Linked DNA regions of Macaca fascicularis. The protein of the gene in region 2 purifies or fractionates together with the protein of the main gene of each other region. This does not show direct contact. Links are inferred from orthologs where the notes say so. Each region holds a gene or a part of one and is shown on either strand. Other genes may lie near its edges.

Region 1 (14,470 bases), on a different chromosome or scaffold from region 2:
TAATAAACACTATTTGGGAGAACATCTTAAGCCCTCTGGCGAAGGACGCTCCTCAATTTGCACTCACGAGGTGCTGGGTTCTGCGGCTGTATGCTGGGATGGCTCCCACCATGTGAGGGAACAGACAGACTTCTGTCTAATCTAACCCTCATTACACAGAGAGGGGAACTGAAGCCAGGGAACATGTTCACGACTTGCCCAGTCCCTAATGGAAATCCCCAGTTAAATGACTTCAATGAACTACAACGGAACCAAGTCGGAGCCTACAGTTCATGGCCACTCCCCACAAGACAGGTAACCAAAGGCAGAAAGACGGGGAGGCAAGGGAGGCGCTGTGGCCCTGCAATGGCCTGACTCTACCTCCTTTCCTCATCCTACTCCCAACCCCCACTGTTGGATCCTGCTCTTACACAAAATTTGGATATTTTGTTCCTTGAAGATTTGGGGGGCATTCAGTTTGAATTTTCAAAATATTGATCATGATAACTGTTTTCTGATGGTGCCCTCTTAAAATCCATGCCCAGGGCCTCCCTTGCCTTACTCCAGTGCCAAGTCCAGGACAAAAACCAGCCGCTGCTGAAGGGTGGGGAAGCTGTTTGAGAGGTGAGAGATCAGTCCTGTTGGCTGATAAGAAACAAAGGCTTATCTTGCACCTCGGAATCTAGGCTCTAAATGCACAGAGAGCTTCATCTCTTTTAACTTATGCTTGCAAAGAACAGGCCTGGCTAATGAAGTTAGGGACCACTCCAATCTTGATGACAGCTACCCTCTTTGTATAACAAGGTTATTAACACCTGCTGGAGCTTAACTCTAAGTGTCTAGTCATTTCCCTGTGTGAGATGTTGACTTAGGGGGAAAAGAAATCTCAAAGTGAGAAACTATTAGACAAAAACACACGTGGTTTAAAAAAAAAAAAAAAAAACCACTAAGGTAAAATTTGCAAAGAGTAAAAGAATCACATCTAAGGAAATATCCCACAGTTGAGTCCCTAACAGTCCCATCTAAATACTTTTTTGAAAACCCACTAAAGAACAACGCATTATTCTAAGAGAAATTTTAAAGCACACATCAAAACTATAAAAGCAGTTTCACTCCAAAATTTACATGGCCTGAGACGTTGCTTACTGAAATATCACATGGAGCTCTTTCCCCTTCCCAAACCAGGATTGCAGAATATATCATCCTTTCTTCAAGAGCTAATCCTTTCATTTATTTCTAAATGCTTCACCATCAGACGGGCACAGTGGTTCACGCCTGTAATCTCAGTACTTTGCGAAGCCAAGGCGGGCGGATCACTTTGAGGTCAGGAGTTCGAAACCAGCCTAGCCAACATAGTGAAACCCGGTCTCTACTAAAAATACAAAAATTAGCCAGGTGTGATGGTGGACTCCTATAATCCCAACTACTCGTGAGGCTGAGGCAGGAGAATCGCTTGAACCTGGGAGGCGGAGGTTGCAGTGAGCCAAGATTGGGCTACCATACTCCAGCCTGGGCAACAGAGTAAGACTCTGTCTCAAAACAAAAACAAAAACAAACTTCACCATCCTGGAGAGCCCAATGCTCTCACTCTGCCCACTCTTCAGAACGCAGGCACAGAGTGACTGAGCAAACTCCCTCCCCATCACTGCGCCTCCACCAGGATTCCTGACTTGTTTCTTCTTCAACGTACTTTAACCCGAGGACAGTACTGCTCAGTAGGATACAACTTTTTACCTACCTATGGCCTGTAACCCTCCTCTCCCCGAAAAGACCAGTCAGCAGCACTGCTGATTTTCCTAACTTTTAGAACATACATCCAGCCCTGACATGTCTTATAAATCATGAAGTTGATCAGCACAAAGACTGAGAACTGAAGAGGCAGGCACTAGGGAGACATGGTCCACCTCATCTTGCCGATGGCAGCATGAGGGGACAGGAAGAAGCACAGACAGGCCACGTGTGGTGGCTTATGCCTATAATCCTAGCACTTTGGGAGGTCAAGGTGGGTGGATCACTTGAGGTCAGGAGTTCGAAACCAGCCTGGCCAACATGGTGAAACCCTCACTCTACTAAAAATAAAAAAATAAAAAATAAAAAAAGTTAGCCGGGCATGGTAGCGAGCACCTGTAATCCCAGCTACTTGGGAGGCTGAGGCACAAGAATCGCTTGAACCCAGGAAGCAAAAGTTGCAGTAAGCAGAGATCGCACCACTGCACTCCAGCCTGGGGGACAGAGCGAGACTCCGTCTCAAAAAAAAAAAGGAAGAAGCAGTACAGACAACCCTGGAGGAGGCAACCCAACTCAAGTTTCAATAGATGCTTGGCCTTGAGCAAGTCCCAGGCTTTGAACACATGCCCACAGCTGTGGGTAGAGCAAAACACCTGCCCAATCCACGCCGGAGGATGCCTATGGAGGTCACAGAAGACAAATCACATTGAAAACTGTTCATTACTGTGCAAATTAAAGCCACCAATGACAATTTATAGCATGGCTTCATCAGCATGCTGAAGAGATACACGAGTGGGCTAAAATAAGGCTTATGTGTGCATTTACAGTACATCTTGTTCCCAAAAATATCAAATGAGGTAATATCAAGCCATATGACAGATAAAAACATTTAAAGATCACGCCACCACACACACTAGGCATAGCTAAGCAAACCACCAGGCTCACAACAACTAGTTGTTTTTTAATGCACCCTAATACTCTGATGGTATCAGAACTGCCTCAATTTTTCAGGAGACACTGTCTACCTCTACTGTATAGCGATATCTAGAGTTTACCATCCACACAGATAAAGACAGGCAGGCAGGGATCTATAAAAGGCTCTAAGAAAAAAATATTCTTAGTGCTACCATAAAAGATTTAAGTATCTATTACCATTCCTGTTTCAGTGCCTTTTCGGTAACCCGCCACAAATGGGAGCAGAGAAAGTTAAGGGGAAGGCTTATCAGGAAGTGTTGACACAACGTAAACACGGGCTGTGGGCACCACACCAGGGAAGGAAACCACAATTATACCATTCTTGATTTGGATGCACTTTCACTTTAAAACTTCCAGACGGGAAAGTCAGCAGTGAGATTTGACAATGAAATCTCTAGAACTCACTCCTTCGACAAACCCGTTGAAAGGTGGGAAGGGAGAGCGATCGTCACACTGGAGACAAATCTTAACAGCATTAAAGCTCTCTGTACAGAAAGTTTCCCCTTCACTGCTTTTTTTTTTTTTTTCAGTAACAAAGATGTTGTCAGAAATGACAATTTTTTGTGTCCCCTGATGATGCCTCGCTAGCATTTGGTTATAAGCCATAAAGCAGGAATAATTTCAGCCTGTCAGGAGTCTCGCTAATGCCCAGTTTCCCCCTAGAGAGAATTCCTGTCAAATCTAATGAGAGCTCCAAAGGCCCTCTCTACAATATAATGAGCACTTAGGCCATGCTGGTGATCAGGCAGCAAAAAGCATCAATTTGAGCCTGGCTACACCCTGGGGGCCAGACGTCACCAGTTTTAATAAGAATTATGATTACTAGCTGCACCAAATGCCTCCTCAGAACTTATTATTAATGTGTGACATTCAGAAGGATGTTTTTCAAATGTAAGGCCACTTTAAACTGAATTATAGCACTACTTTGCACACCACTCGAGTTAAGGGTCTGTCAGCATTTCCAATATCAACTAAATTTCAGGGGGCTCAATACCCTACTATGAGGAACATGGTGTCTCTCAGCTTTTCACGTTTTTCAAATTGCTAAGCCAATTATACACAGCATATTATTAATGCATACAGGCTCACGGACGGACAGCATATACCCACAAATGCCTCACGCTGTATAGAAACTCATTAGAAAACTATTCTCACACCATGGTGCTTCTGACCCACTTCACCCCTTCTCCCTACACGATAAAGAAGAGGTCATCCCGCCACATAACCTACAGGAACCCAGAAGAATTACACACCTCTTTTAGCTCCTCCAATAAACCCAGCACCAGCATATAGCATCACACCGAGGGGGTGTTTCCTTATAAAAGAGTCAATGAGGTTATTAAATCCTTTGAGTTCACGGATTTAAGAAAAAGCTCAGTCTCCTCTTACTCTTCCATAATGTGTTATCCAAAAAAAAAGTGCCCTTCAGAGTAATTAAAAAAAAAAAATTAAACAGCCTAGGCCAAGTTTATTTGCATAATTCACTTAAATGATGATAGACGTTAGCCATAGATCTTCTAGCCCATTTACTATCAACAAGTTACAAGTGCCTGAATAAGGCACTAGCCATTGAGAAACACACAAAAACAAAGGCACAAACCCAACATAAAGTAGGCTACCAACTTTGCAAATCATAGTAAAATCTGCATTTTTAAAAGGCCCAATTACATTACTAATAAAAGGCCCTGAACATCACAATCTCTTTCCAAACACATATCTGAGAACAGATCTAATGTACACGATAACTTAACATTATGAAATCTATGATGAATTAAAAATCAAAGAGTGCAGAGTTACAAAAGCAGAATTCAACTCTGAAACACACTTGCTTAATGAAAGTCTTTGAATATAAGGAAGATCTGAAGGCTGAACTAATCAATTTCTCCACTGTGCCCCAGCCGGTCAGCCATGCTCTTTAATTTAATGAAACAAGGGTTTGAGATGAAATAGCACATATACATCAAGTAAGAATTGTATTGTTGCACTTTGAAATGTGTCCAACTGTGCAACTTCATCTGATGATAATTTTTTAAGAGGCAATCGATTTCTAAAAGACTTATTGTACCAGCGTCTTGATGAAAAAGTGAATGTCAGCATATCTCCAGAATACTTACACCCTGCCATTAATGCTTTCTTTGGCAGACAATGACTACTCAATCGAGGGTCCTTTGGGCTGAGCAATCATTTAGCTTTTCTTCTCTTATGAGGTCCTTAGTGCCTTGTTCCAGCTCAATACTCTTTTTATACACCATTATAGTAGCCATAAGTGTGAATTTTATGGGAACTTGCAAACTCATAGTCATTGCTAGAGCTTTCCAGTCACTAATCTTTTCATGCTTTTAAAACCACTAGGACTGAAGCAACTCCCAACATATGCTCTGGCCATAAAAAGATGCTTTTTTCACATCCAAACCTGCAACAACTGAGAAATTTTTCAAAAATTTGTTTGCTAATAAGCCACTAATCCTGACTGTTGCTTCGAGCAGACCCAAAGCATAAGGAATACTCCACAGATAGTCATATACTTTGTTTACTATGATTAAAGAAACTCCTGAATACCCTTCTTTCCCCCTACAGGTCCACACATCCTTGCAAAACAGCACAAAAACATTAACTATTCTAAACTTCAACAACTCTATAAGATACCCAGCCCTTTCAAGAGGATAAATCTATACAGGTGGAAAAGTCAACTCAAGTCTCAATTCCTATCTGCCATTAAACAGGCTAGTTTATATTTCCAAAACACCTCTCTTTCTCCTAGTCATTTAAACACTCGTAATTATCAGGAAGCAACTCTTGCTGCAGAATACTACCATCAATCCACAGGACAGGAAACCAAGGCAGAAAAATAGCATACAAACCCCCACTCCTAGAGCCCACTACTGAGAACAAAGCCAGTATTATAAAATCATACGAACTGATTTCTCATTTCAGCTTGAAGTTCAACTAAAGCTTACCTGTTTATGCATTTCAATGTTTAATCCATATGACATTTCGTAATACTGTAAAGAGAAAAAAGAATCAAGCATTTCATTAACTCACATTTTTTATACTCTGCTAACACGTTTGCTAATATCATACGAAAAGGGAAAAAGTCGACTCTTTGATACCTACCATCACATAGTGCCTCTGCATTTCTGTCTTTTCACTTGCCAGTTTCTCACATTCCAATTTAAGGCTATGAAAACAAAACAGGCAACTTAATGTAAACATTATGTCACTTGTTTTAACATCTGCCTCACATATTTGCACTTCAAGTAAAAACAGACCAATTTGGAAAAGCCATAAACTATCTAGGTAAACACCCAAAAGCTTTGTCCTTGCATTTAATAGGGAAAAGGAATAATGTGAACAATACGAGGTGTCCATTCAGCTACCATTCTTCTTGGTGCCTATCTGGTTAGATGACAAGAATGCAAAAAATCTGTCAGAACCTCTAACTGATTCCTCCTCATGGTCATCTGCTCCCTACCTTCCTGCATCAGTTTCTCTGGACTCCACCAAAATCCGGCCCTTGCACAATCTTCACTCTTACGCATAGACTGTGCCATCTTTGCCAACTCAAACGGTCTCTAGGTTTGAAAATCCTATCTGTTAAGTTACTCCTACAATTGCTAGTCCCTTTCAAAACCTTTGGTTTTTAAATCCCTGCCAAAATATGTCAAGTAGCTACTGCAATAAAGTGGGTTGAAGTTCTCCCTGCTGGGTAAACACGGTGTGTGCAAGTATGCCTCAAGCTGCAGAGATATTATCTACAAGTAGACAAAAGGTCAATAATCAGAAAGCCCCTGACAAAGTAAGAAAATTCACACCCAAGCCACTTCGCCTCATCTGTGTGCTTTTTCTCAAGCATGACAAAACCAAAAAATGTCAATACAGTTATTTCTGAGTTAGAATCAGGTAAAACTTCATAGGAGCAAGGGAAAGAAACTAACCTTTCTGGGAAGTTCACTATTGGCAGAGTATCTTACAAAAATGTATAAGTCCTTTGGAGGCAAGCCTCATTACTCAGAGAAACTGAGGCTGAGATGGATATAAATGTGACTCCACTCTCCCATCCTACCCAAACCAACCTGAAATGACGCCAAAGCAGGTGAGCTTTCTTCTGCACACTATTATACCCACCTCCCTCACCATCGCCAATGATGGGCAATGTTAAAAGCATCTAGCCTTCTTTAATGAACTTTGCCTCAAAAACCCAATTTTCTAGTATGGCAAACAGCGATTTCAACATGGCTTTGCTTCCCTGAACCCACACTCCAGGACTGAGACATCGATTGAACCAATGTTTCAACTCAGTCTGTTGAAAAATAAATACATGAAGCGCAAATATTGACGATTCTCATGCAACTTCTAAAGACACGAAAAAGGACTCCCTGGAACAGCAGCAAACCAGCAAAAGGGAAACAATGGGAGGAGGAGGAGACAAGAGAAGAGGCGGCCCGGGAAGAACCAGGAAAGGGGGTAACTTGAATGACAGGTCTTAACTGAGACTCCACACGCCACCGCCTGGACGCAAGAACTAAGTACAGGCGCCGCCGCCACCCGGCTGGGCGACAAGGGGCACGGGGACGCCCGCGACCACTCGCCTGGAGCGGCCAGACACGCACCTGTGATACTGCGCCTGCAGGAACTGGAATTCCTCTTTAATCCGGTCCAGGGACTCCGGGATAGTGAACTTGAAGGGCTGGCCTGCAGCCTGGTGCGGCGTCTGGGGGCGACCAGCGAGGGGGACCGAGGGACGGGAATGCGGGCGGATGAATAAAGCAGTAAGTCAGAGAAGGAAAGAACGGGTGGGACATAAACAAAAAATAAAGTTAGAAGTGGCTGAAAATGAGGCCCCAAACTCGAGTTTCCCCTTCACTTGGGGGAGGGGGAAAGTGGACCCTCCCCGGGCCCCGGCTTCTAAAGAGGCTCGGAAGCTCTTCCCAGTCTCCAGGGCGGATCGCGTTAAGTGCGCCCGGGTCACCAGGCCAAAGGGAAGGGGGCTCCCCGGCGGCCCGGTTAGACCAGGCCAGATTGTCGGTGTCGCCGCCCCTTCCCCCACGGGGGCGATAATGACCCGGAGGACCAGAAGAGAAAAACAACTCCTTTACGCTCCCCATTCCCAGAGTCGCCAGGGCCACCTCCAGACGCACCGGAACCGGGGCCGCATTGACATGTAAATAGGCGAGACGAGAAACAAAGGGGGGGCGCCCTGCCCCCCTTGGGGAAGGTTGGGGGGATATGGCTACAGGAGAGAAACCCCAGCCTTCCCCAGCGCCCCTATCCGCTCAGTATAGACGTCAAGTAGGAAGGAGCCCAAAGGGAGGGAGAAAATTCAGAGTTTCAGTCCACTCCCCACCCCAAGAGGAGAGGGCCCCAGACCTCCCCAGCCTTATGCCGCGGAGGGCGAGAGGGTCCGCCGGGCCGCCGAAGCCACCCGTCTCCCTACCGCCCGGGAGAAGCGCCTCCCCAACGCTCCTGCTCCCCCACCACCCAGCCGCGCCTCACCGGGTGCCGGCTCTGCGGGAACATCGCTCTGGCGGCGGCCGGGGCTCTGTTCCCCGGCAACTCAATTCTCCGGTCAATTTCCAACTTTAATCCCGCCGAGGAAAATTAAGCCGGGAAGCCAGGCAGAAGCGGGGAGCGCGCTGGCCACGCACGCAGGCGCGCTCGGCCGGGCGCACCGGCCACTCGGCGCCCCCAGCTGCTCCTGCTCCCGCTCCCGTCGGTGCGGGCTCCGGCCCTCAGGGCCACATTGGTGGGCGCCCCAGGCCCAGCTGCTTCGAGAACCTGCGCGGAGACGCCGGGCGCTCGGGGACTGTGCGCGGGGGCAGCGCTCCAACCCCCCGGCCTCAGCCGCCGGGGCGGGGAGGCGGGGGCGCGGTGACTCCGACCGCACTCCCCTCGGCGATCCGCGTGCGCGGCGCCAGTCCTGGGCAAACAAATCCAGACGGGCTGCTTTTCTTTGCTCTTCTCCTGGTCCGCCTCCTCTTCGGGTTTTCCCCGAGGCGGCGGCGGGCGAGATGCAGGTGGCGAGGCGGCCCCCGCTAACCCCACACAAACAAACCCGACGCTTTCGGGGCGACTCCCGCAAGACTCGGCTGCGCCTTCGGCCAGGTGCTCGCAGGCTCCCGGGACGGAAAGGGGAGCGAGGTTGAGGAAGCGGCGGAGGCTCCTGGCCGGGGAGCGAGGGATGACGAGGCGGGGAAAGTGCGGAGGGCGCGCCGGGAGGCGACTCGGCACGCCCCGTGCGACCAACACTCGGTGTTCTCCGCCGTTGCACAAACCCTCCGGGACCGACGGGGCTACTCCACCGAGAGCAGTCCAGCAACTGCCCGCTGCTCCTCGAGCCCGAGGAGCATCAGGGCGCCGCGCCTCGCGCGCACTAGCCCTGCACGGCCGGCTCGGCCGCTCTGGACCCTTCTTCCGAGCCCCTTCTTCCTCGGTCTTCTTTCTTTCCTTCCTTTACCTTCTTCTGCTTCTCCGCAAAGGGCGCTCCAGCCCGCTGCAAAGTTCTCTCACCACCCGAGGGACGACATCCACGAGATGGTGGGGAAAACAGCAGGAGTGCGCTCCGCCAATCGGCCACCCTCCCCGGCGGGCAAACTCTGCGGGCGAGTCCGGAGTAGTCACAGCGGTGGGGCTAGCGGGGGTTTTGGTCGCCGCGGGACGACGGAGGTCCGGGCTGGTGGCGCGGGTCCCGCCCGGCCGTGCGAGGGTGGGGTGGCGCAGTCGGCTGCCTCCGGGACGCGGGGCACAGAGTACCCGCCGCTGCTGCTGCTGCTGCTGCTCCTGCAGCCGCCGCTCCCACCGCCGCCGCCGCCGCCCGCGCCTCTCGCGCCGGTTACATTAACACGCGGTTTCACACTCCGGAGCTAACCAGCGCCGGCCCCGCCCAGCCCGCTCGGGCGGGGGGCGCGAGCTCCGAGCCGGCGGGGGACGTGGGCCCAGGAGGTGGGGGGGGGGGCAGGAGGCCCTCATCAGCCAATCGCGTGCGCTGCACCCAACGTGGGGCGCTGACGCGCGCCTCCCCGGAGCCTATGGCAGCGCAGCGCCGGACGGGCCGTTCTCCCTCCCCCGTCCTCTCGCTTCCTTCTCCGCGGTCTCCTCGGTCTCCCCTCCCACCCCGGCCCCTCCTCCGCCAGCCGCGTCCTCCCGGGCTTGGTGAGGAACTGTTCCTGGAGGAGCCGCGGGACGGCAAAACCATCCAATGGGAAGAGGCGATTCGCGGAGATTGGCACTGAAGATGGGAAGGTCGGTGGGAAGGAGAGCGGCGGGGCTGGGCTGTCAATCAAAGTAACGTGGGGCTGGCTAGAGAGCGCGCAGGAGCGCGCTAGCGGGAGGGACTGGCGAGCGTGCAGCCGAGGAAGCTGGGGGCTCGAGTTAGCAAAAATCCTGCCACTTGCTCACTTTTCCCTTTAATGAAAATCCTCAGATCTAAGTGAAAGTAACTCAAAGACTAGCTGCGTAGTTTCTTATTGGAGGCGGAGGGGGGGTTTTGGTAATTCGAGCAAATGTGTTTTTCAGTGCTGGACCCCCTTGTTTGATGCTACTCTGAAAGTGAGGCCACATTGAAAAATACATCTGACGTTTGTTTTTCCTTGAGCTGCCTTTTTACGGATGTACGAGAGGGAGTGGACTGTGCACTTAGTTGGAAATGCGTAAATGAGCAACGGCACGGTTGGCGTAGGTACACCAGCCGCAGAGACGACTATGATGTCCTCCCACCCCACCCACCTCCTTTGCACCCAAAGTGGTAGGATTTGGTTTTTATTGCAGGATTTCAAGCCACTTTTCAAAAAGATCGTCCTGCCCCGTTTGGCGGGAAGGATTCCCAGGGTGCTGCCAGAACAAGGCACGCGTGTCCGCAGATGAGACGCTTTGCCCGGGGCGTGAAATCCCAGGTCTTCGTCTTAAAAGTCCAGACTTCGCTGTTAGGAGAGGAGGGGAGCGGCTGAGGTTTTTAGGAGCCTCTCAGCTACAAGACCAAGAGTCTGTTTCCAATTCCTGGGAACAAAGAGAGACAATGTAATAAACCAGCACTGAGACTTGAAAAACCTGTCCCGCACACCCCACCCCCATAGTCTGGGTGGTACTCCTGAGCTGAGCTGTGTGAAGAGCTAAATGGGAAGAGTTAGGTAAATGACGTGGCTACGGTTCTTATGAAGTAGAACTTGAGTTAAAAGGGATTTTGAGATTGTAATAATCAAGACACGCTGTATAATTAATGCTGAGAGTCTTCGGTTTTTGTGTATGTCTCTAAATACACCCACAGCAGAAAACCGTCAGTATTGCTGCATTTATACTTTTGTTTGAAGAACAGTCCAATGGAGCTACTTCCACATGAGCAGTGAGTGAATAATGCTGGTTTAGCCAAACGGTGGTAACTTTTTCTATAAGGGCACATCTTGGACAAGTATTTATCTTATGTTGGAAAATAGTTAAGTTTTTGGTATTAATAACCCCCACGTTCCCATTATTTTACTTTCAAGAGACTTATGGGAAGGAGCTTATTTAAAGAGACATACATTTTATTTAAAGATGTGCTTTTACAGAGATCTTTTTCTTGAAATAGTTTTAGAAGTTGTTTTAGATAATACATTTCACTGTTGGAGTTGTTTTAAAATATGTATGGGCCGGGCGCGGTGGCTCAAGCCTGTAATCCCAGCACTTTGGGAGGCCGAGGCGGGTGGATCACGAGGTCAGAAGATCGAGACCATCCTGGCTAACATGGTGAAACCCTGTCTCTACTAAAAATACAAAAAACTAGCCGGGCGAGGTGGCGGGCGTCTGTAGTCCCAGCTACTTGGAGGCTGAGGCGGGAGAATGGCGTAAACCCGGGAGGTGGAGCTTGCAGTGAGCAGAGATCGCGCCACTGCACTCCAGCGTGGGCGACACAGCGAGACTCCGTCTCAAAAAAAAAAAATAAAATAAAATAAAATAAAAAATAAAATATGTATGATATTGATTTATCTATAATTGCATCACTCCCAAATATCAATTATAAATGAAAAATAAAAAAGCTATTTTAGCCTGTCTGTACGAAGCCATAGTAAATTCTTAAACAAGTTGGGCATTGTAGCTTTGTGGTGTTCTCATTAAGTACAGTTGGGAAGGCGGCTGTATTATTCATTTTGCTAACATGGAGAACAAAAAAGAAGAAAGCACTGCCTCACTTTCTTTGGTTAAATTTGGTGATGATGAGAGTTTTGCTCGACATACAGGACTTTTTGGAATCATAGGACCCCAGGCCTTTAGCAACCTGTTTTCCTTGAAATCATCTAATGTACGAGCCACATATTCCAGTCTGCAGCCAGTTCATCCCTTATCAGCTCCAGGACTGGATAGAAAGTGCTTGGATGCCACAAGTATGCTTGTATACATGCTGTGACAACTGGAGCAACTGATACTCCTCCGCAGCTTACCCAGGCTTTACGTGCCTGTATCTTGAATAACTGGCACACTCTCATTAAGTTTAAACAGAGCCACTAAAATATGCTTTGAGACGGGGCAAAAGTGTTGCTACTTCTCCTTTCCCCACCCGGCTGCCCTCAAAATCAGTTCTAAGGCATCTTTAAATGTTCTGTAATGTATCTACTCACAGACAATGTGTCTGCTCACCATATTCCCAGTTTGCCATGAGTAAACACTGGAAATTCTCTTTTAACTAGTCTTTCCTTGCCAATAGAGTTTGAAAACACCAGGCCTTCTGATTTCCTTATAATGTAGTATCTAGTATCTACAGATCATTATGAATTTAAAATTGGAAGGCCTTTAATTGTGCGCATAAAAATGGTTGGTTTTGGTTTTTGAAGCCTTTTCTTCCCATTTAGAGCATCGTCTGTCAGAGTGGGAGAAGGCTCTGCCCTTTTCAAGGTCATATTTTCTCCATGATTGTCATGCTGTAATAATTATACTACAAAACTCTCATCAAACTGCATTACAAATGATGGTGTTTAAACAGTCAAGTAGCTTTAATCTTATGTTTTAAATAAATAATATATGTGCAGATTGCCTACAGCCTGTTTAAAAGAAAATAGTCCTCCTTATGAAATCTATAATTTTGGTCTTCCATTTAAAGCCTGTTAACCGTAATCTTCTTTACCTTTAACATTCGTATGTCAATGATGTTTTTATGTGAAATGTATGATGCTTCCACTGGAAATTTTCTCTGAAAAACACGGTACCCTTTTTATGCTCTGCAGAGAAACACAAAGATTGTCAGCTTGTTCATTCTCTTTTGATGTATATGTGGGTATATTCCCATTCATTTGTTGCTTATTATCAAATTTTCAACTCAGCAATAGCCTAAGTAATTGCAAAAGCTAGATGTTATCTAGTACAGATACTACACAAAATAGGAAAAGTTATGGATGCTGATTGTAGCAACTAGACATCTTTTAAATCTATTACTTTTTTATTTGAAATCATAATTGTAATTTTTTTTTTTTTTTTTTGGAGACTGAGTCTCCCTCTGTCCCCCAGGCTGAAGTGCAATGGCGCCATCTCAGCTCACTGCAACCTCTGCCTCTTGGGTTCAAGATTCTCTTGCCTCAGCCTCCCCAGTAGCTGGGACTACAGGCATGTGCCACAACACCCGGCTATTTTTGTATTTTTAGTACAGACGGGGTTTTGCCATGTTGGCCAGGCTGGTCTCGAACTCCTGACCTCGTGATCTGCCCGCCTCAGCCTCCCAAAGTGCTGGGATTACAGGTGTGAGCCACCACGCCTGGCTAATAATTATAATTTTTAAAAGACCACTTTTGTTGTGTTCTCTTCATTTTAGCTGAGAATTATTGCTAATTTTCTCATTTCCTTTTTTTTTTTTTTTTTTTTTTTTGAGTCAGAGTCTCTCTCTGTCACCCAGGTTGGAGTGCAGTGGTTGTGATCTCAGCTCATTGCAACCTCCACCTCCCAGGTTCAAGCGATTCATGTGCCTCAGTCTTCTGAGCAGCTGGGATAACAGGCATGCACCACCATGCCCGGCTAATTTTTGTATTTTTAGTGGAGACAGTGTTTCACCATGTTGGCCAGTCTGGTCTCGAACTTCTAACATCAGGTGATCCGACTGCCTTGGCCTCCCAAAGTGCCAGGATTACAGGCATGAGCCACCCTGCCCCACGTTTTCTTTTTCTTTTTTTTTTTAATTGAGAGTTTTCTTAAACCTAAGAATGTAAGGTCCAGAAGAATTGTTCCCAGCATTGCTTTGTAATCTTTTTCTCCCCCACCCCTTTACCAAAGAAAAGGACAAGATGGACGTGGAGGTGGAGGGAAGAAGGCAGAGAAGGAAAAAAAAAAATCAGTAGCAGATCCATGCAGCAGTAAAACCTCAAATAAAATCACTTCCAAAGAATCTCTTGCGGTTTCACACAATATGGTAAAATTAGAGATTGCAGGAAACCAACTAAATTAAACTGGGAGCATTTGAAGAGAAATGAGCAGACTTTATGAAAATGACACATTGACTGACCAGTATGCTTTTTTATCAACAATTTCTTTGTTAAGACGAAGATCAAAGGAACCTGCATATGTTTTCATTTTGTTCTAACTAGAAAATTACATCCAGATGTTTAATAGGCATTTGGTTGGTTTTTCAGCATTGATTAGATATGTGGGTTCTGTTTGCTTACAAGTGCAGCCGGATCATTAGCTAATGCAAAGAAATGTTTGCTGTGAGTTGCTAATTAGGGCTTTTGGAAACCCTCCATGCTCAAGAACAATTTGTACAGTGGCCAGAAGAACTTGTGGGACTTGGGGAAGTTGTTCTCCCTTCTCTGTCAGAGTGGGGAGAAGCAGACAGTCC
Region 2 (14,372 bases):
TATGCATTTGTATGTGTGGAAGTGTGTATATGTGTGCATTGTGCCTGCATGCATGTTGACATTACCCACTTGATGGCACAGTGAGAACAGGCCTGAACTGATAGGAAATCTGAGGACTTTGCCTCTCATTTGCCTTGTGCTTTCTCTTGGGGCACTTTCTGTCTCATGATTTTGTAATTCAGGAATCCCTGAGGAAACTTCCAACACTGACACTGCATTAAAAGACTGGCCTAAAGCATTTGGGGAGGGGTGGAGGCTGGCAGAGTCCCTAGCCCTTCCCCTTTCTACAGGTTGCCAAAGAAGAGAAACCCCCTCCCCAGAGTTCAAAGTGAGAGAGGACAGTGGAGGTTTCTGGTGGGAGTGAGGAGGGATGAAGATACTCTGCCACCTCCCACAGATGGGGATGAGCATATTCTTCCATTTGAACCCAGTGTGACATCCAGACTAAAAGGGTCCAGGCTCTGAGGTGAAGCTGGAGAGGACATCTGAATGCCTCCCTGCCCTTGTCTGCCTCACTCCCCTGTATGGTGGAAGCAGAGGATAGTGGGTTGGCTAGATTGCCGGAAGAATGGCCTCTCTCATTCGCACAAAGGAAAAACCAGGCTGACCATGGAAGGAATTGATGGCCACCCCTGACAGAAGCTGCGGTAGACACTTTCATCCAGGGTGCAGAGTCTGGCCCTGGCCTGCATCTCCTGGACCTCTGGGAGTCAGCCAAAGCTCACCTGCCTTGCAACTTACCCTTTTGGGGCCTTTTTTGTACTGAATGTGTGTGTTGGGGTTGGGGGTGTCCTGGGGCACAGTGGCCTCCTCCATGGTATTATCTCTGGAAACCCTGCCACAGGTGACAGATGGGTGTGGGGCCCTGGGAGAGTGCAGGCTAACAGGCCACTCCTCTATTCCCTGGGCAGCCCCATCTAGGGAGCTTAAGAACTGGGTACACATACACACACCCACAGACATCAAACAATCACTGCTAGAGGCCATATACCCAAAGCACACACTTCCACCTCCCAAACCTAAATAAATATACTCAGTACCATGCCTATACAAATGCCCACACACAGTACAACCCACGCATACATAAGCCCACGCAATCACACCAAGCAACCCCACACTCCCAAATACCACAACACCCTCTCCTTCCACTTTCCTCATGCCTTCCCTCAGCCCCATCCATGGCCTTCTCCCTAACCCTACTGAAGAAAAGAGAGTTTCCAGCAAGAAAACAGAGACCTTTGCCCTCAGAAAGAACCAGGGATCAATACTGTTTAGACTCAGCTAGCATGTATTTCCTTTTAGACTGAGGAAGATTTAAGTTTATGGTTCAATTCAATCTTTAAAAAAAAAAAAAAAAAAGGAAAAACAGAAAATGAGGAAGTTGGGATGGCGTGCTCAAGTATTTATTTCGCTGCATCCCCAGACCTTAATACACAGGCAGCTCACTAAGCCAGCCTCATAAATCAGAGAAATCAATGCCCGTTTATGATCATTATTAGTTTCTTTTTTTTAAAGGGCGTGTAAAAAAAGGTCCCACCAGAATCCTCCTCCACTTCTCTACTCCAATCAGAAAGAAGGAAAAATGGAGAGAAGATGGGAAAGTCATCCTGGATGATGGCTTCAGGGCCTTGGCCAGATCCTTGAGGTAGATGCGACTTAGACACCCATAGTCAAGGAGGAGGCACAAACAAAATGTTTAAGTTCTCAGAGCTTCATGTTCTTTCACTGAACAATGAAGAAAAATCCACTTGCCCATAGTGATTGGAAGATTAAAGGAGATAATGGGCAAGAAACCAAATTACATAATAATGACACTCACGTCTGTACACTTTACTGACGCAATCATGGGGGTGAGTGACCACCTTCTCCCCCTCTCACTGGGTTAAAGGGAAGAGCTCTTGGCTTTGATCTCTTGGATAGAGGAAGGGGAGCATGAGGAATGGGGTGGTTCCTGGAGTCGCTGCTCACACTGGCCTCTGTCCCAGCCTCTGGACCTGGCGGTCTTGGGGGACTTGGATATCCTAAGGGGCCACAATAGGGAGGGGAGAAGGGAGTGTAGCCAATTCCCAGACATTCAAAAATAGTAAGGTTCTCCAATATATAGAGTTGAGCATCCTTAACATCACATCTGGATGTTCTGGGAGGGTGAAATGGAATGGGACTCTTCCTGAAATTCTGAGACGGCTGTATGAAGGGAAGGGTGCTCCAAGACCCAGGCATCAGACTGTTTAATAGGAAAGCCTGCAAGGCTTGAAAATTCCAAGCCCACTCTGCAAGGAAAGCAAAGCACAGGCTTTTGACTACCAGAAAACAACTCCCCTGGACCAACCCCAGGGAAGGGTCCAGCTCGCTCCTTCTAACTCTGCCCACAAAGATTGGTTGAGCACCTATTATACGCAAGAGTTACTCAACACTCCTCCAGAAAACAATGGGCAGATGGAAGGAAGGAAATTAATTGCAATAAAGTTGGGAACCCACAGCAGTGTCAAATGCACTCTCCAATTCCACTCCAGGCCACTGAGCCCCCAAACTCTTATGTAGGGATTTAGAGGAGACCTAGGCTTCCTGGGATTGAGATCTAGCCCTGTTAGTTCCCTGGCCAGGAGCGAACAGTACATTGGGCCAAATCAGGGGAAATTTTTCAATAAAAAAGGTGGAATAACTAGCCATTATCATTTCACACAAAATCAATCCTGCAAAAACAAGAAACTCAAGCGAAGAGCACAGAGAACAGGGTTCTCACACGTGCACAAACCCAGCAAACACACCTGCAGACATTCCAGTGTGCAAACACAAATTCATGCATGTACGCACAGTGAACTCACACACATCCAATTGTGCATCTCATTAGAGAAGAAAATCAGTTGCACAGTCCTCACGGGTACAGGAACACACAAAAAACTGGTAGGAACTTAGGTGCACCAATATCTGCACATTATCATATATGCACACAAGTATGTGTGGACACCTGCCCGTCTAGCTGCACACGTATGGGTATATACATACATATTGCAGAAGAGAGAAAATAATGTGGGAGTGGAATTTACAATTTTTAAAAATCCTGGACAAAGGAGAGAGAATACCTCCTGAGAAGGAGCCTTCCCTTCCTCCCCTTAACTTCTTAAGGTCTGAGAGCAGCTCCTGCCTTGGAAGGATGGGCCCCAGTGTTAGCAGCAAGAGGCCAGACATTTCCTTCTGGGAACCCAGGGTGTCCTGAGGGCCCTGGGGGCTTCTACGTGCGCCCCCCGCCTTGGTGAAGAAGAAAGTTAGGCTTTGTTGGGATGCTTAAGGGAACCCTCCTAGGTTTAGGGCCCAGACACAGCAGACCCGCGCCCACCTCGGGTTCCAGGCACTCCGAACAGCTTTCCCAGCATCTGGGCCTTCTCTCCTCCCGCATTGTGGGACCAGGAGATCCGAGCCCCGCGAGACTCCGCTGGTTGCCCCCGGACCTGCTGCCTCGCCAACAGAAGCCCTCCCCCAAACGAAGTGCAGTGAGTCCAGGCGGCCGAGAGGCCATGCCAAAGTGCCCCTCGCCCAAGCGGGCTGTTGGGTAGGGAGGAAGGCAGGCCCCCTTCTATCTCTGGATGAAAAAAATCTGCAGCAAAACCTGCACCAGAGGGAATAAAAGAAAAAAAGAAAAAGAAAAGTGCAGGTTGGAGTGAAGAGCAGGCTGTACAGGAGGAGGCCGCTGCTGGGCTGGGCCTGGACCGGTGCGGGGAGCTGCCGGGTAACCCGGGCAGCATTTCCGAAGCCAGGACTGGGTTTGCCGGCCTTTGAGTTCCCTTGAACGCAATCGGAAACCAGGCGTGTCCCGCCAGACCCTTCAGACCCAGGCCAAATCCGCATCTGGGCCGTGCTTCCCCTTCGCCCCTGCATTCGTTGTGCGGTGATCGCAAGGCCCCGCCGGCTCCCGGCCCGGCGTGCGCAGGGGCGCTGAGACGCTGTGTGCTCGGACCCACGCCCTTCCCGAGCCCGCAAACAGGAGGGCCGCCAGCGCTCGTGAGCACAGTGTACACTTTATTTCAGACTACAGGTTTCTGAACATAATAAAATCTTTGGCTTGTAGCGGCGGTTCAGTCTCGCAGTCTGTGGGGTCGTATTTCTCAACAAGTCTTCGGAAAACGAAAGGGGGGCAGAACAGACAGACCGACAGAAGGGGCCCAGGAGGTGGGGGAGAGGAGGTGGGCAGACACGCAAGGAAACACACTCACGCACACAAAGAAAAGTCCCAGAGAAACCAGGGCCAGCGATGCGGGTCGGGAGGCACCGGAGAAGCAATGACATTCAAATGAAAAAGGCAACGAAAACGAAACTGGGCCGGGGGCAGCGAGGCAGAGGGGGAGGGGATAAAATAATTATAATAATTATAATAATTATAACAATAATAATAAAGGAGATTAATAAAAATGTCCAGCAAATAGAGATCGCTACACGTATGTGTTTTCCTTACCTGAAATTAAATATATACAAGGTCGTAAGCGGTTTGGCTAGATAGAGCTTTAAGGAGTTCGCAGTTTCGTCCCTTATACTGTGAATAGAGAATAGATCTTATTTTTCGATAGCACCTGTCCGAGTCTTTCTCCCTTTTCAAAAATGCTGCGTTTCAACGTCATTGTCCATTCTGAGGCTCTCTTTCTGTCTCGCTCGCTCTTTTCCCTTCGCTCCCTCCCTCCTTTGAGCAGATGCTTTCTTCCCCAGCTAGGGGCCGGGAGGCGACGGCGGCGGTGCCGGGAGGCGGCGCGGGCACGGCGGCCTGACCGCGCGGCCCCGGCCGGTGGCGTCTACTCGCTCTCGTCTTTGTCCTGGACCGTGGTGGTGGAGTGGTTGTACAGTCCCTGGGCCATGAGGTGCAGCGCCAAGCCGTTCTTAATGCCTGTGGCTTTCTTGATCTTGGCGCGCTTGTTCTGGAACCAGATCTTGATCTGGGACTCGTTGAGGCTGAGCTCCTGGGCCAGGGTCTGCCGCCGCTGCTCCGTGATGTAGCGGTTTGCCTGGAACTCCGCCTTGAGTCTCTGCAGCTGCTCGGCGGTGAACGCCGTCCGCGGCCGCTTGTCCTCCTTCTCGTTCTTCTTCTTCTTCAGCTTCCTGGTGCGCGGACCTGCAGCGGCGGAGAGGGCCGGAGTGGGGGTGGGGGTGGGGACGGAGGGCAGAAGGGAGGGGGGAGAGGGCAAAGGAAGCGGTGAGAATTGCATTGCCGAGCTGGGCCGCGAGCCCCGCGCTTCCGGGGCCATCTCGGAGGCCCTGCTGAACCCCTGGCTCCCTCCCGCCGGCCAATCCCTCGATCAAAATGCCCCTCGCCAGACCACTGGGGTCTCCGGGTTCCCTTTGGGAGGGCAAAGGGTGAAGGAAAGCTGGTTGAGGTTGTAGGTGCACCCCACACCCCAATTCTCACAGGACAGTCAGGGACAGACCGAAATCACAGCATTTTCCGGCCAAGAAGGAAGGAATCCAAGATGACCAGATATTTGGAGCTCATCTGGCCCAGCCCAGAGTTGGGGGTCAGGGGCCTGCTGTCCTTACAGCCCTGGAATAGATAGGACTAGGGCAGTGAGGGGCAGGCCCTGGGGGAGTCACCAGCCTACAGACTAATCCTCCTCTCCTCCACAAGAATCGTACCTACAGGAGAACCTACAATAAGATACCATCTGCTTGTAGCTATTGACCCCAGAAAACAACGGGATAGTGAGCGGGCTGGGAGAAGGCTGCTCAGCTCCAAAGTACTTGGTGTCTACCTGTGCAATCCCCCCGCCCCCCCCCCCACCTCCTTGCCTTCTTTCTCTTTGGCCTAAAGGAAGCCTTTTCTAGTGTCTCAGGGATACAGGGACCACCCCTTCTCTGAAGGAGAAGAAAAGGCCCTCATCCATCCTCATGACCCTGGCCCCTGGGTTTTCAGCCTTGCCCCTTGGATCCTCTAACGGGCTGTGTGGGGTAGGGTCTCCCTTATCTGGGTCTTCCTTATCTCCCCTTTGAGCCGCTGCAATTTCAGGATTAAAAACTTCTGAATAACAAAAACAAGCCAGATTGGCTTTCTCTGCCTACTGATGACATCTGCAAGGAGACTGCAGCCCCTTCCCCCATCCATGAGCAAAAAGAAGCAGAGGAAGGGAGACAGGGACAATCCAGAAAAAAAAAAAAAGTGCTTTGACCGCCAGATAGGAATGGGAAGGGGCCACAGGAAACCTCCTTAGGAAGGTGAAGTTCCCTTCAAATACTAGTCTGGGAGGAGGGTCCACTGAGAAAGGAAGGAGGGAAAGCGGGAAAACCAGGATAGGATTGAACTGTTCGTGTGTGCCTCAAAAGCCTGCACCTCTGCCCACCCGCTTCCACACCCAAGTCTTCTGGCATTTACTTGCTGGGTCCTGCCTTGGATAAGGTAGCTTGCTGAACCAAGTTAAGTCCCTGTCAGGCCTGTTCACCTCTAAAACTGTCTGGAAAGAAGGATCTTTGCCGGCATATCCAAACCTAGCTACAGAGAGGCAAGCTGGGCAGCCTACTCCTGGGGCAGGTAAGAGCCTGGGGTAACCAGTTGTCCTATGACAAAGAGTCCAGGCCTAGCATACTGCAGCGACTCAGATCTGGGTCGAGGCTCATCCCCTCCTCCCCCAACTGCCCAAGCAGGAGAAGGAGCTGGTCCCCTACCTACCCAGGCCCATAAGAAGGAAAGTGGCCAAGAACAAAGCCAAGGCCCTCTCCAGAGCAGAACTGGGGTTTAGATTCGTAATTAGCTGAGCGGGGAGAAATAGCCCAGGAAATGCGCACAACCCCAAAAAGGCACCACTGCGCGTTGTGCATCCGGGACATGTTGAAGTGTTGTTGTATGCGTGTGCGGAGGCACGGACTCTTGTAATAAAATCGTAGTCTCCCGGCCAGCCCGAGCCGTGCAGCCTGACAGCTCAATCACTCTATCCATCAGGCGAGTCAATCAAAGCAGCTTTTCGGAGGTTCAGGGAGCCCGACGTGTCAATAACGGGGCTCGAGATGGCGGGAGCTGATAGTGCGCATCGATCCGCGCCCGGCCGGCAGCGGTGGGGCGGCGAGAGACCAGCCAGAGGAAAGCGGCGCGTGGCTACGTTGTTCCCGGCCCCCTGCCGGACCCGGCGCCTGGAGTGCTGATCTTGGGCCAAAGCTTCTGCTGCTCTCCCAGACACTGCGGGCCTGGGCGTCGGGCAGGCCTTGGCCTCCTGTTCCGGAGCCCAGCTCAGGTCTCCTCCTCGGGTTCGCCAAGCGCGAGGGGCACACGAAAATGCAGTGGAAGGAAAGCCGAGAAAAACAGGCCCACGGATGCCAGAAATCTGCTAACTGCTGGATGTGCTGGTGAAAAAAGGAAAGTGCCAGGCAGGGAGGATGTGGGAGCCGTTCTGCGGAGAAGCTACGGAGGAAACTGGCTCTCATACCCTTGGCCCGGCTTTCTGACCTGAGCCTGACCTGTTTTCTCTCCTCTCCCACTGTTTGTCAGTTCCAGAAAACCAGAGGCTGCCAGCACCCACCTTTTTGGCAACTGCCTTTCCCTGGATTCTACCCACCCGGGTCAGACTCTTCGCTACCCGACCAGGGGAGAGGGACGGCTTTCAGACGCTTTCCTCCCTGTCTTCCTCTGTGTCCCCATATTTATCAGTGTAAACGGTCACTCCGCAGAAAATATCAAGATGGTGTTTGTGTTTGTAAGGACACACTGTGAATATAATTTTTCTGAACAAGGCCTTCTCTGGTCCAATCTGGCCCCCGGACGATCCGGCTGGTGGGATTTCAGACACACATCACTAGGCCCAACTTCCTGCCATATCTAAACACCCTGGAAACAAAATCATTGACTGTGTACTTTTCCTAAGAATAATAAAGATAAAAGACAAAGAAGGCCCCAGGGATTCAGAGTTCAAAACCAAAGAATCGAGACTCGAGCCTCCTGTGCCACGAGCTGTAGCTTCTCGGGTGGTGGCCGCAGAGGCCAGGATCGCATAGCTGGGTGAACATTCGGTTGCGGCTGGAACTGGGGTGAGGAAGCAGGCGTGAGAGACTGGAGTACCCGAGGCCGGGTTTGCTCTCCCTAGCGCCGCAGCTTGGCGTTCTGGGGCGGTCCGCGAGGCCAGAAAGCATGGCGCAGCCCGGAGTTGGGTACTCACCGGAGGATGGACGATCCGAATAACGTGTGCAGTAGACCCAGGCGGGCCATACGAGAGGCTGCTGCGAGTCAGTTTTGACCACGGGCCCGCCGTTGGCTGAGCCCATAAGTAGGATGGCGGGGTTGCCGTGCTCGGGGTATTTGGTGCCCTGCGCTCCTGGGCTCCCTGCGCCGCCTCCACTGCCGCCGCCGCCGCTGTCCGAGGGCTTGGCTGCTGCGGCCGCCGCCGCCGCCGCGGCCACTGCCGCCGCGGCCGCTGCCGCCGCCGCCGCCGCCGCAGCCGGGTTCCCAGCTTTAGACGCGCCCGCGCCGGCGGCGGCTGGCTGGGAGCCGTCGGGTGGGCCACAGTTCGCGTCCGGGGCGCACAGGAGCGAGGCAGCGCCTGGCGCCCGGGTGCCCAACGGGTGGACAGGGTCTCTACCTGCGCCAGTCTGGCCTCTGTCACGCTCGACCCGGCCTCCTCCTCCTGCGCCTCCTCTGGCCGCCGCAGCCACCAGAAGCTGCGGTGGCGGCTGCTCCTTTTTGCAGCCGAAGTCCGGCCTCAGGATGTTGTCGATGAAAAAGTTGGTGGTGCGGTGCAGCTGGGCCGCTGGCTGCGGCTGGTGAGCAGGCGCCGCGAGATGCTGAGGCGGCGGGGGCGGGGGGTGTGGGGGGAGGTGCGGGTGGTGGGCCAGGGGCGGCAGGCAAGGCGCCGCGGGCGGCGAGGGGGGCGCGGGCTGCGGGGACACGGGCACGCTGTCTCCATCGCTGCCGCTGCTGCCGCTGCTGCCGCTGGCGCCTGGACTGAGGCTCAGGCTGAGGCCGCCCGGGGTCGCCGCCGCCGCCGCCGCGCCGAGGCCCGAGTCTCGCTGACTTTTAGGTTCCGGCTGCTGTTCTTCCATGCTCGGCCGCCCCGCCGCCCCGGCCGCCGCGCCGGCCCCCGCCCCCACCGCCTCGCTCCCCACCCCACTTTGCCAGCGGCCCGTGGGGGTGCGCAGAGGAAGGAGGCAGGCGAAGCCCCAGCGAAGGCACGGGCGGGTGCAGGAAAAAATCTCAGGCGTCTGGCCTGGATCGCTCGCTCTTATCTAGCAGATAGATCTCGCTGTCTCTCCCTCTCTAATTTGTAGACATCCAGATATGGAGACACTTGGCTATTTCTTTTTTCTTTCTGCAACCAGATTCAATGATTTGATTTAAATGGGGAGTAAGCCACGGCCAAAAAAAAAAAAAATGAAGGAAAAAAAGAAAAAAGGAAAAAGAAAGCAAGAAAAAAAGAAAAAAAGCTCCAATAATTTTTTTTCTTAAAGGGAAAAAAATAGTATTTAAAGTCTAGCCATCTTCCTAGGCAGTAGTGAGGGATTTGACTTCCCCGAGTGTCACGCTCAGCTGTGCCCAGAGCGTGAGGCTGGCAGCGCCTTTAATCGCCTTTGCTTTTTTTGCAGGGAGAGCGCGTCTCCGCCAGCGCCGGGCTGGGTTTTTTTTTTTTTTTTTTCCTCTTTTTTTTTTTTTTTTTCAAATCTCTGACAGCTAGGATCTTTGCACAAACTCTCTCGCTTAAAAAAAAAAAAATCACCCAGGCACACTTTTTGCCTTCAAACCGGAAGCACGTGAGTCAGGGCCGCACGTGTGCGGAGCCAATGGCGAGCCGGGACTCGCGCTGACACTCGGGCCTCGGCCCAATGGGTGCGCGCGGGACTTTGCGGATAAATAATCCGAGGGCGTCAGCCGCGGGCGGAGAGGGGGCGCCGCGGCGCTGGCCCTGTGCGTCGGGTCCGCCCTCCCCCACCCGCGCCCCTCCCCCTCCTTCAGGCCGGGACCGAGGAGGGGGCAGAAGAAACCCGGGAGGGGTGGATTTTGGGATGTAGGCAAATGGAGAAGCAACTCCATAAACAACTTGTTGGAGAAACGCAGGATTATGGGTCTGTGCGCGCCGGGAGCAGGGGCAGTAGGCAGGAGCCTGGCTGTTTTACACCCCCACGCCTAAGAACCTCAGCTCTTTATTTTCTCCTCTCTCTCTGGTTGCTGTTATGAAGGATGAGTGGTTGTTGTCACTGCCGGTTTGTGTGTTTGTGGGTAGGTGTGGGTTTGGGTGTGTGTAGTGGAGGGAGGGGGAGTGAGACAAGGAGGTCGGTGATGTGAAATAGACCTAGAGTTGGTTTCTTTCAGAGGCGCAATTTATTTTTCACAAATAGCAAAATCTGAAAGGCCCGCTGCGCCTAGCTAGCGTCGCAGGTTTACGTTTGTACGTCTCCTGCCGGCCCGCTGCATTGCTTTCCCTTTGTGGGGAATCCGCACCCATGCCCTTCCCGGTCCAGACTTTCGACAACACCCTGGAGCTGTCCTGGCGCCATAGCGCCAAGCCCAGAGGGCTCGGAATAGCCCCAGCGCCAGCCGCCTGGACCTTCCCTGGCAGTGGGAGTCCGGGCAACGCAGAGTAATCTCAGGAGGGCCCCCGCGCTGGCGAGTCAGAACGCGGATGCACGCTAGGCCCTAGCTTTAGAGTTCAGGGTAACCTCTATGTTAGATTTCCCTGCAAAGTAAAATCAAATAAATAAAAGCGCTGCACCCCAAGTGTTTGCCCTGGCCAGCTGACGTTGTGAACAAGGAGTTTCCCTCAATTGCGGGGTAACTGAATTTCCTGGGATTGCTCCCAACTCCCTGGGTGCCTCCGGCTCCAGCCCTGGCGTTCTTCCCTAGTTTGAGGGGAATGCGGTTCCTCTAGCTGCTATCACTCTCCCGTCTGCCGGGCTCTTTTTCGCTGTTTCCTGGTTGAGGCACCCCCAGAGTTTTCTCATAACCGGTAATGTGAGGGACGGGAGTGGCTTGTGGACTGAAGCTCTAGGCACCTGCGGAACTTGTCTCCGGAGTCGTTTTGGAGGACCAGTATTGGACTCTGCTGAAGCCTGCGGTGGCCGAGAAAGGCAAACGAGGCCTTCGGGGGTGTCATCTTAGAGCTCCAGCGGACCTCCTCGCCCTGAACGCCCTCCCCAACTGGGACAGTAGAGAAAGTACCTCTTTGGAAATATTGTCTATTTGTGACATGCGAAATAATCCCCCTACCTCCAGTTTTCCAGAAAAGTCACAGGGGGTTAGGCTAGGAGGAACATGCAACTAAACCCACAATAAGTCGAACCAACACCGCAGTAGCTGAAGTTTCTCAAAAGGGCTGGTGGAGAGCAGGAATTCGTATTGCTCACCGCATCTTGGGAGCAGGCGAGGGTCCCCCGATTTCTGGGGCTGAGTTCCCGGCTAGACTTGCGCTGCAGCCTAGGGGAGAAAACCTCTGTCCCTAACGCTGCGCTACAGTCTTCTCAACCTTTCCAAGTCGCCTCCAACCCCACTTTGGAGTCTCCCGAGTCCTCTTCAGTCGCACACCCAAGGGCTCCCCGAAATCTCCAGGCGCCCCCACCCCTTCTCCCCGAAATGAGGGTGGGATTTTATTTATATTTAAGTTCGCAAAATTGAAATCTTTATCCCGCAAGCAAGCGTGGGTACTTAATTAAATTCTAATTAGGACACTATCAATATCCTATTTAGCCGCGTAGCTTTTGTGCACCGCGGTCCCTTTCAGCGCGGTAAATAGGGTCTCGACGCCTTATCTCGCCTGCAGGAGACGCCTCGAGAAGGGCTGCGGAAGATAATTTATAGGTTTTAATTACTCTTCATTCCGCCTGATCAGCTTGGCGTTCATCACAGGCCTGTGAATAAAACCCTGGTCAAAAGCTCTGTCACATCGCGCTGGCAAGACGCTTAATCAAAGTGAGCGGCCCCGCGCGCCGCGCGGCCCGGCTCCTCCACGTAATTTCCAGCCAGCTGATAAAGCCAGCTGAATAATGCGGCGGCCCTTTGGAGACGCCATTTACAGAAATGACTTTATTGACGGCTTAACGTCGGTAATTCATTTTACCTTTCATGTAGTGGAGCCCGGATTTGTTACAGTAATGGGATGATAAATGCACCCGCGGCCCACGAGCTCGAGCTGGATTAGGCGGCACTCTGCGCGCTGGCTAGTCCCCCCACCTCCCCCAGGCCCTGCCTGGCCCGGACGCTCGGTACCCCGCGCCGCCCTGCGCTCCATGACCTCCACCCAGACCCTACGCCCTCCTCTCCCTCCTGCAAATGAACATGCTATTGAGAACTCTGTGTGAGCGCATTGGCGTCTTGGCAAGCACGCAAGTGAAGTGTGTGAGGGCTGAGTGAACAAATGTTGGCCGAGACGGATGGGTGAGGGGTTCACAGAACTCTGAGTGAGCCCGGGGCTGGGCATGTGAGTGAGGAACTACGGGCAGGGTGAGTTGTGTGTACAAGTATGTGGGTAAAGGGTTAGGGTGTGTGTGAAGGATTGTATCTGCACGAGTGGTTATATTTGTGTGGCGGTCCTTTTGGGGGCACTCGTTTCTGCCTTTGGGAGCTAAGGAATGACTTTCAACTTGATGCCCAGGCCGGGGTGGCAGAGAGGTGGGCCTGCGGGTAGCAGGTGGGGAAGCCTTACTCAAATGGAATGGAGCCCCTTTCTCCAAATGCCATCTGCTCTTGGGCCAAAGATATGGAAGTGTGGGGGTACCCTGTGCGCCTTTCTATGGCTTTGCAGTTCTGAGCTATGCAGTCACCTGGGCTAGAGGCCCACAGAAGGCCATAGACTGGGCTGTGTCTCTGCAGTAAGTTGATTGTCCCCAAGTCCCCTTTCCTCGGGGATAGCCCAGATAAAAGTGGAGAATGACGAGGAAGATATAGAGTGTTTTGTCTCAAATGCCAAAGTTGGGGGAGGGGTGCTACTTTTTTTCACTTGAACGAAGGAGGTCCCAAAGAGGCCTTCAGTGATGGGGAGTTGGGTAAATAGGACAGAGAGAGACCCCAACCGTCCTTCCCTTCTCCCGTCCTTAGACTTCCTGCATTTTCTGAGGATAGTCAGGGGCTCCCACTGAGCCAAAGACACCTGGCCAAACAGAGGAGAATGATGCATACATGTTTGGGGAGCTGCTAGCTAGTGGGGTTTGGGAATCATGTAGTCGGAAGACTGACATGTGTTTATTAGAGTGAAGACTGAGAAATTTTACCTTTCTTTCTCCCCTTTTCTAATTTTGGGGAAAACACTCAGCGGTCTTGAAGAGTGGCCCGTGGCTGTGGGGACAAGAGTGTATATTTGTGTTTATTTGCTTGGTCTGTGAGAGCCACCCAGAGAGAAAATTAGTCTATAAAAGTAGTGTGTGTGTGTGTGTATAGTTGTGTGTGGCAGGAGACCCCTGTGTGTATGTGAACGTTAATGTGTACACCCAAGTCAGCCCCACTAGTCAGGCATGAAGAAATGTATTTGCTGAGGGTTTTGGTGTATGCTGTTCAGAAAAGAGGACCAGCCTGTTTGTCCATAGAATTTTGGATTTTGTGTAGGCAGAGACAAATACCAGGGTCCTGCATGTTTCCACCTCTCTTTCAAGGATGAGGACCAGAAGGAGAATTATGAAAGAAATTCTTGCAGCCTGGCGAGGGGTGTGCGCCATGGACTGGGAGTAGGAGCATGTTGCATGCACAGGGTGGTAATCGCATTTCGAGTGTAGATCAGATGGCGGTGGGGCCTCGTGGTGCGGGACATGAATGAGTTGTCGCAACACAATAGCGTGCAGCCTTCCTACGGGGACTGGATGACCAGCGGTTTTGTTGGGAGTGAATGCGAGGAGATTTCTGCTACAAGTGCCGCGTTATTATGAGCTAGAAGGTCAGACTATACATCGCAGGTCCCCAAAGCCTATAGACCTTGGGAAATGTGGGGCCTCGAGTCACGTCATTGTACCTGACAGTCTTTTTCAATAGACTAATTCAATTAGCACTCGGGGTCTTGGTCTTCATTTGGAGCCCATAATAATGTGGGGGTGGGTGGGTGCTGGGGGATTCGTTGGGTATTGGTTAGGGATCCTAAGCAATTCTGTCCAAAGTGGAGTGGGACTAGGGGAGGCAGCAAAGGAAAAAAGCCGGTGGGTGGGGGGTGCGTGGGAGGTAAACCATGGAATATAAAATGCTCCGCTGACAAAATAAAATGCTCCCTTGACTCCTGAAATTGGGGCAGCAGCTTTGTTTGTAGAGGACCCAGAGCATTTCATGAAGGGGATGAGGGACAGGGAGGATTTCTTTTTTTCTGTATATATGAAATAAGACTAAAAATGTCTAGGTATCTGGAAAGCCCGAGAAAAAGCCCACTGTTGGATGTTGTCACCTTCGTGAATTTCAGTATTTGGATTTATGTCCCCACCATCCAGTCTTCCTCCAGAGTTTTCTCCTT

What was found.
Region 1: the proteins of EN1 (region 2) and TLE1 purify together in Homo sapiens (affinity purification with western blotting; 4 studies listed by BioGRID and IntAct, with this or other methods). This does not show direct contact. The link is inferred for Macaca fascicularis from reciprocal best matches to the Homo sapiens genes EN1 and TLE1.

Annotation. Positions count from the first base shown.
Region 1 is NC_088389.1:112,325,730-112,340,199, forward strand, and holds the start of TLE1 (transducin-like enhancer protein 1), read right to left. Parts: upstream 9,519-14,470; 5' UTR 8,200-9,518; coding exon 8,176-8,199; intron 7,394-8,175; coding exon 7,293-7,393; intron 5,861-7,292; coding exon 5,797-5,860; intron 5,685-5,796; coding exon 5,640-5,684; intron 1-5,639. UniProt on the Homo sapiens protein: Transcriptional corepressor that binds to a number of transcription factors. Inhibits NF-kappa-B-regulated gene expression. Inhibits the transcriptional activation mediated by FOXA2, and by CTNNB1 and TCF family members in Wnt signaling.
Region 2 is NC_088386.1:12,930,665-12,945,036, reverse strand, and holds EN1 (homeobox protein engrailed-1), read right to left. Parts: upstream 9,655-14,372; 5' UTR 9,001-9,654; coding exon 8,121-9,000; intron 5,099-8,120; coding exon 4,782-5,098; 3' UTR 3,884-4,781; downstream 1-3,883. UniProt on the Homo sapiens protein: Required for proper formation of the apical ectodermal ridge and correct dorsal-ventral patterning in the limb.